Linked DNA regions of Arabidopsis thaliana. The protein of the gene in region 1 purifies or fractionates together with the protein of each later gene. This does not show direct contact. Each region holds a gene or a part of one and is shown in the gene's direction. Other genes may lie near its edges.

Region 1 (4,828 bases):
ACTGTTGCCCAATTTTGATAAATGTAGGACCTAATCTCAAAATGTTTTCTTTCAACCACTTAGCCAAAACCTTCCTTCTTAAAACCTTCTTCTCTTCAGTCATTCCCCCTTATACACATGATTTTTCAAGAATTTAGACAAAATGAGAATCGTCCTAATCCTAGACGTAAGCAAACAAAAACAAGTATCAACCTTTATAAGAGAACTTCTTATTGCTTAACCAAGTCCTGAAAATAAACTGTACAACAAAACCCCAAATCTCCAATGTTCTTTGAATAGTTGAGTAAGTCTTGAATCTATTCCATCGACCACCAGGTGTAACAGAAACCTGTAAAACAATATTAAAGTAGCAAACTTTCAAGGAATTGAATCATTAAACAAAACGATATTGATTAAAAGTACATTACTTTATACCTCAACTTGTTTTTGTTGAGTGTTGTTCTTAAACCAAGCATCCTCTTGACCAATATCTTCTACTCTCTTCTTCCTCACTTCTTCTTTTCTCTTCTTTGTCACTTCCTCCGTTTCCACCGTTACACTTCCGTTCACATACTTCACCAAACTACCGTTACCGTTCAAACGAGCACTTCCGTTAAAATCTCCGTTGACGGATTTTCTCGCAGAGCCGTTACCGTTTAAACGTGCACTTCCGTTGTAATCACCGTTGATCTTCACTGCATTATCACGATCTTCAACAGCGACATTATCGTCTTTAGAAGCTCTGATTAATCTCGTACGAATCCGGAGATTGTGATTGTAGCTTAATCGGTTTCTGGGTAAGAAGATCCCGGCGATTGAAACGGAACGAGTGATTGTTGGAGATTGTCTTGAGTTGAAATTGATGTTTGGTAAAAGCAGAGACGACGATGAAGAAGAAGAAGTCGCCATTGATGGTAATACTTCGGAAGAGAGATCTCAAGTTAAACCCTAGTTTCTCATGGATTATTTGCGTACAAGAGATTTTGAAGAAGAAGAAGAAGAAGAAGGTGAAGACTTGTTGTTTGTTGGCACTTTGCAGTGAGAGGTTTTTTGAGGTTCATGACGAACCACAGAGAATGTTAAAAAAAAAAATTATGATAAAATAAAAGGGGTGGATATGAAAAGGACACGTGGCATAAGATGAGATTAGTGAAGGAGATGTTCTTGTGTTTTGATTGGTTGTGTTAAGACACCTCATCGTGTTATTTATCGGAGCCACAAACATTGTGCGATTTTTTTTATTGTTCCTTTTTCCAAACACTTTTATGGTCCATCTTCAAACCAAACTGATTGGTTCGGTCCTAAACTCGACTACTTGGTATGTTAATCTGGTCCTAAGCTATATGTATGACTTTTAGTTCAATTAAGTACTGAACCGATCCTATTCATTGAACAGAAAGCACCTAGAAACATCAAATTATCGCTAAAAATCGAGTAAACATATTATTACCTATTTAATTGACATTAACATATACATTGTATAATTTGAAGAATTCGTTGAACTTACAAGTTAATTCAGATATTTGGTCAAGTATTTTTCCTATATTAAGCTAATTATGACGAATTTTTAAAAATACAAATTAAATCAGAGGAAAAAGTTGGAAATTCGAAACTTTTCACTAGTCACGAAGCGACCAAAGTCTTACAACTTAAATACTTTTCTCAAAGTTGCAAATTTACCCCATAAGTTATATTTTAAGGCTATGGAAGCCCTCCTCCTCCCTCCTTCGCCGGAACCCCAAAATCAAATCACCAATCCGGCGAATTCAAAGCCAAATCATCAATCTGGTGACGTACATAAAGATGAGACGATGATGATGAAGAAGAAGAAGGATACGAATCCATCGAATTTGGAAAAGAGAAAACTCAAGGGAAAGAAGAAAGAGATTATGGACAACGACGAAGCTTCTTCGTCCTATTGTTCTACATCTTCTACCTCTAATTCAAATTCTACTAAAAGGGTTACGAGAGTGGTTCATAGATTACGAAACCCTATGCGGTTAGGTATGGCTCGACGAAGCGTTGGTGAACGACAAGCTGAAAAATTGGCGAAGCCTCTGGGCTTTTCACTTGCCGCTTTTGCTAATATGGTTCGATCAATTTCCAAACTTTGATCTTTATTGCATCACATAACTGTTTTGATACGAAATTGGCTTTGCTGGTACGGGTTGTTCCTATAGTTGACCTTGCGTGAATACTAGGTTTTGGTTGTGTTGAAAGTTTTGATCTTTAGATAGTATTAAATACAAAGTCTTTCAATTTAGGCTTTGTTGATTCAAAACTGGACAGAGGAGAGGATCTGAATCAGAGTCAAAAGGATTGAATCTGAATTTTCTTCTCTCAGTACTTGCGTGAATTCTTCACCCTGAATCGAAGAGAGGATCTTCTCCTCAAATTATAATCAGAGTCAATCAATAGAAGCTGAAGTTCTTCTTGGGGGTCTCTATGATCGAGCTTCAATGTAACATTGCAAATTTATATTGTCTTCTCTCTCACTTGCCTTAAAGCTTGAGCCTTTCTAGTTTCTACTCGGATTTGTAGTTCTGATTGTGATTTCACCAAATTTCATCCTACCTAGCCGCCAAAGTCATTGACTTGCATATGCTCTGTAGTTCTTACTCTGTTTCTACTCTGTTTTATTGTTCTCTAGGTTATTGCGAGAAAGAATGCCGCAGGTCAGAATGTTTATGTTGATGATCTTGTTGAGGTAAGTAGTATGAACTTCAAATGATTTCTTCTCAGTTTCTGTTCAATCTTTCTTTTGCCATCGTTTTGGTAGTGATACAAGAACTTCATTGATTATGCTCTCCAGATCTTTGCTACTCTTGTCGAAGAATCATTAGCCAATGTAAGCTAAAATCCCCCTCTATGTTTTCCGCATTTTTATATTTATAGACTTTCTGATTCATAATGTTGTGGTTACAGGTTTATGGTAATAAGCTTGGTTCCTTTGCGACCAACTTTGAGCAAACATTCAGCAGTACTCTAAAGATCCTTAAATTGACCAATGAATGTGCAAATCCACATCAGTCAAACAATAATGATGGTGGGAGTTGTAATTTAGATCGCTCTACCATAGACGGATGCTCAGACACCGAGCTATTTGAGAGGGAGACTTCATCTGCTACGTCTGCTTATGAAGTGATGCAAGGCAGTGCAACAGCAACCTCTTTGATGAATGAGCTTGCCCTTTTCGAAGAGACTCTACAACTCTCTTGTGTCCCTCCTAGAAGTTCAGCAATGGCTTTGACCACAGACGAAAGGTTTTTAAAAGAGCAAACACGAGCAAACGACCTAAAGACCGTGGAGATTGGTCTTCAAATAAGAGAGTTAAGGTGCAAAGAGACGGCGCTAGGATTAAAATTTGAATCAAACAACCTGGGGAAAGCGGCGCTAGAGTTGGATGTTTCGAAAGCTGCATTCAGAGCGGAGAAATTCAAAACCGAATTAGAAGATACAAGAAAAGAAGAGATGGTCACAAGAATCATGGATTGGCTCCTCGTAAGTGTCTTCAGCATGTTGGCTTCTATGGTACTTGGCGTTTACAATTTTTCAATAAAGAGAATCGAGGATGCTACCTCAGTATGCGACCAATCCGAGGAGAAAAGTTCGTCGTGGTGGGTTCCTAAACAAGTTTCATCGATTAACTCAGGCTTCAACACCTTCATCTGCCGGGTTCGAGTTTGGGTGCAGATATTTTTCGGTGTGTTAATGATCATTGTCTTCACTTACTTTCTAAACAAACGATCATCAGGTACGAAGCAGACAATGCCGATAAGTTTCATCGTTCTTTTCCTCGGTATATTTTGCGGTGTATCGGGTAAATTGTGTGTGGACACATTGGGCGGTGATGGCAAACTCTGGCTAATAGTTTGGGAAGTGTTTTGCCTTTTGCAATTCGTTGCAAATGTCTTCACATTGGCTTTGTATGGTCTAATGTTCGGTCCTATAAACGTGACTCAAGAGACCAGATCGAACCGTTGTAACAGTATGTTTCCATATTGGGCAAGGCGCAGTGTCGTGTATGTGGTGATTCTGTTTGTTCTTCCAGTCATAAACGGTCTTTTGCCATTTGCAACATTTGGTGAATGGAGAGACTTCGCTATGTATCACCTTCATGGTGGGTCTGACTATGCTTGAGACGAGGAGGCCATCTTTGTATTGTAATTTATTGTAACGATTTGGGTTTTTTAATCTTATTTTATTTTATGGGTGCTGTTGAAACAATTGTATCGCTATTACAAAGTTATGTATTCGAGTTATATGTTTGTATTGTTGTCAAAAGAAATTAAAATTATGCTTTTCGATATGACAAAATTTCATGGGTCAAATGGTACTTTATCTTATCAAGTTTTTGGATAAAAGTGCAAGTCAGTTTTGATTTGGAAGCTGGTTTAAATTGGATTGAACAATTTGATTTTTATGTTTGACAGCAATTGAACAGTTTGATTAAATTGTAAGTATTATGAATTTATGATGATGGTGATATCATATATAGAAGAAAATATTATGATATTGTGGGTGGGTCAAGTGGGTAAATGAGCAGGATTCTCTAATGTCTTAAAAATTCGATAATAATAATACAGAGAGACCTTTTTCTTTTATTTTCTCCATCCTCTTAATCGGCTTATCGGATCCGAATCCGGACCCGAAAGCCTGAAAACCCGACGATTAATTGCACGATGTCCGATGCTCCGTCGTCTTCCCCGGATGCCACGGCGTCGCACTGGTGCTATCACTGCAACAAACGCGTCGTCGTTGAAACCTTAGATGACTTTGTCGTGTGCTGCGAATGTAACAAAGGTTTCGTCGAGTCAATTCAACCGACTCCCGCCGCTTATTCATCGCC
Region 2 (3,178 bases), on another chromosome or scaffold:
ATTGCAAGGAGTTTTTTTAATATAATTAATTATTATTACTATTATTACAAGTGCATTTTTAATTTGTAGGACATTGTGAGACTTTAAGATCAGTTGTTCTTATTTCTCGATTCCTTTTCCATTTACATTCCATTTAAATCTGGTATTGCTTTTAGACGATTCGTTTTGGCCAAAGTTTTAACAACCGTAAGTATATTGGACCACCGAAACTTCAACATCGATTATAATTGATGGATTCTAAATGCTACAGATTGTTTGATTGTGATCGTATGGTTTCGTGGCCTTACAAAATTACATCGACTTATCCTAATTCCTCATATACATATCTCTCTTTCCGTAAAAATCGAAGCAAGAAAACGTGTCAATGTCAATAAACAAAAAAACAAATTACAGTAACCAAAAGAAAAGAGAGAGAAGAACATAATAAGAGAGGAAGAAGGGTTGACAAAAAAAAGGGCCAGAGATTGAGATCCTGCGAGAGAGATCATATAGATCTTTCCATTTCTGTACTTTTTTAGTTAGATATTACCACTGACTCACTTACACAGATCTACTCTATATACAGTATATATCATCATCACATGCTTTTCTACGTGGCATGTCCAAAATATGTCATATTTTGCCGTAAAATTACTCAGCAAATGTAATAATTAATTACATAAATATACAGCTAGCTTAGCGAGTTTGTGTACATGTTAAGAGTACTGATAATTCTAAGAATGAAGACAAAAAGAACATCAACAACGTATAGCAAAGTATAAACTAAATTTATAATCGTACCAAATCTATTTTTCGGTTGTAATTTAATAATTAGATTTTGTAAACCAATGTAGATCTTACATTAAGTTGAAAAACGCAAAGTGTTTAGGATGAGTAAGCAAAGCAAACTCATGTTACAAGTCTAATAATTGTTCTATGGCATGGCAAAGGCTTACATTTTTTTCTACATTATTAAACTTGGCGTGTAAAACGTTGTGGGTCCACCGTATATGTTGAAATCATAATGTCACATAAAAATTATACAGCTTCTCACATTGGACATTAAGTAATTATTAAAGTAGAGGATACAGAAACTGATGCAATCAATTGTTTACATAAAATATAATGATGCATGGACTAGTTTTAAATCTAATCACATGCCATGTTTTTAGGTTTGTAATAGGTACAAGACACACATTTAACCAAACTTTATGTTTGAGATCTAAGATAAGACATTGATCTAAAATTTGTATATATATGTGTGTACTTTTCTTTACTACCTATAGATGGTATTACTATTACTTTGATGGTTCGAGTTTTTTTATTAAGTAAAAGTTTCTATATAGACACACTTTAATGTTCTTGTTGAGACCATAACCCACACGTCTTTAGATAGGAGACCGATGGTACGAGAACACCATTTGCGTTTGTTTCATGAGTTATGGCCCTCCTTAATTCACTCGCACTTCCAAACTTTAGAGTTTCATTTGTCTTTTGTAAACTTTTTGGGAAATCTCCAGTCATTTTTTTCACTTTTTTTTATTATTCAACAAATATTACAGTACAAAACTTAATATAGCTAGTCATCTTACTAAGGTCATCCCAAAGGTTTTAAGCAATCACTAACAAAATTAGGCAACCCTTACAAATTGTGAATCACATGTGCTCTAGCTAGTTTTGTACATAAACACAAATACATACAAACTATACAAGTAACTTACCATCCCTAGTAAATAATATATTTTTTTCTAAATTCGGAAGTTACGTCCATTTTCCCTTCCCATTTTATATAGTTTTACCTTACTTACTCCATACTATATTTTATATTTTATTTTCGTTTTCCATGCCAAAAAGTAACTCTCATTTCTAAATGCGACATTCTAACTTTATGTATGTATATACGTGTATGTAAAGACACAAACACATATAACAAACCCTTCTCAACCTCTCACTTCTCCAAGAAGTTTTCTCTACATCCACAAAAGAAAAAAAGTTTCCCAAAAAACAAAAACATACACAAGTTTAGATATGGATCTTGAATTACTACAAGATTTGTCCAAATTCAATTTCCCAACACCCATCAAGATCCGATCCAAAACCTCAAAAACAAAGAAGGACGAAGGTGATGACGACGAAGATGACCTCCGCTGCAGCACACCCACATCCCAAGAACACAAGATTCCCGCCGTCGTAGACTCTCCACCTCCTCCGCCGAGAAAACCCCGGCCACCACCGTCAGCACCGTCGGCTACGGCGGCTCTGATGATCAGATCGTGCAAGAGGAAGCTTTTAGTGTCGACTTGTGAGATAATCATGAATCGGGAAGAGATTGACCGTTTCTTCTCCTCCGTCTACAATGAGACGTCGACTACGGCTAAACGGCGGAGAAGTTACCCTTATTGTTCTCGAAGATGAGGCTTAATTCAATATTTACATTTTTTTACAGTTTTACTGGAAATATTGTGAAATTAATTATCTGTTGGTGTTCGGTTTTAAATATTTTTAATTTAATTATGAATATGGATGGATAATTTTCTGCAACCGCGCATATTAATTTCGCATGGAGGGGTCGATGTTGTAAATTGAGTAATAAATGAAATTTAATTCCAATTGCCAAGTTTTCTATACAATAATGTGATATTTATGTCATTTATAAGAGACAAGATCGTTTTATCATCCAACTTCATGGAAAAAATAGTTTCAAAACATATATTGTCGACTTCTAAAGTTGAAGAACGCGTTTACCTACTATGACCGATATGATGTAAAATATCCGCAGCCAATATGAAGGATCAAAATATCTCCTGGTAAAAAAAAAAATTGTGTTATATATGACGCATGCATGTATATGAAATCTTTGAACAAACTTTTGTATATATGTCGCCTGATAAAAAGTTATTTATCAATATATTAAATTACAGTGATGTTAGCTAGTGATCAAGCATTGCTTGCTTCATGAGCAATGGGTGGTACATGTTCTTTTAAATATAAAATCATTGCATTTATGTGAGAATATGATGGCAATCAAATCAAAAGATAACTATTACTCGTATAGTCTCAAACAATATAATGTCATAGAGTTTATTTTTTAATATACAAGTCGATATTTGTACATTTAACGTTTATTATGTTACTGTATCTTAGATTCCAATTTCATTCATCTAGGTTGAACCGAAAACGCTTTGGTACCTCTCACAAT

Evidence for each region. The genes of interacting proteins can lie anywhere in the genome.
Region 2: the proteins of CPR5 (region 1) and LGO purify together in Arabidopsis thaliana (affinity purification with a luminescence readout, with the first as the bait; one study listed by BioGRID). This does not show direct contact.

What each region holds. Positions count from the first base shown.
Region 1 is NC_003076.8:25,945,176-25,950,003, reverse strand, and holds CPR5 (CPR5 protein), read left to right. Parts: upstream 1-1,606; 5' UTR 1,607-1,682; coding exon 1,683-2,069; intron 2,070-2,629; coding exon 2,630-2,686; intron 2,687-2,791; coding exon 2,792-2,827; intron 2,828-2,904; coding exon 2,905-4,119; 3' UTR 4,120-4,321; downstream 4,322-4,828. Other genes in the region: ATH13 (ABC2 homolog 13), read right to left, coding at 1-108, 193-328, 415-888; CIP8 (COP1-interacting protein 8), read left to right, coding at 4,662-4,828.
Region 2 is NC_003074.8:3,280,792-3,283,969, reverse strand, and holds LGO (LOSS OF GIANT CELLS FROM ORGANS), read left to right. Parts: upstream 1-1,838; 5' UTR 1,839-1,919; coding exon of another isoform or gene 1,920-1,949; 5' UTR 1,950-1,991; coding exon of another isoform or gene 1,992-2,007; coding exon 2,008-2,394; 3' UTR 2,395-2,664; downstream 2,665-3,178. Other genes in the region: AT3G10527 (uncharacterized protein), read right to left, coding at 1,920-1,949, 1,992-2,294. UniProt on the Arabidopsis thaliana protein: Probable cyclin-dependent protein kinase (CDK) inhibitor that functions as a repressor of mitosis in the endoreduplication cell cycle. Cooperates with SIM and SMR2 to promote endoreplication during leaf development.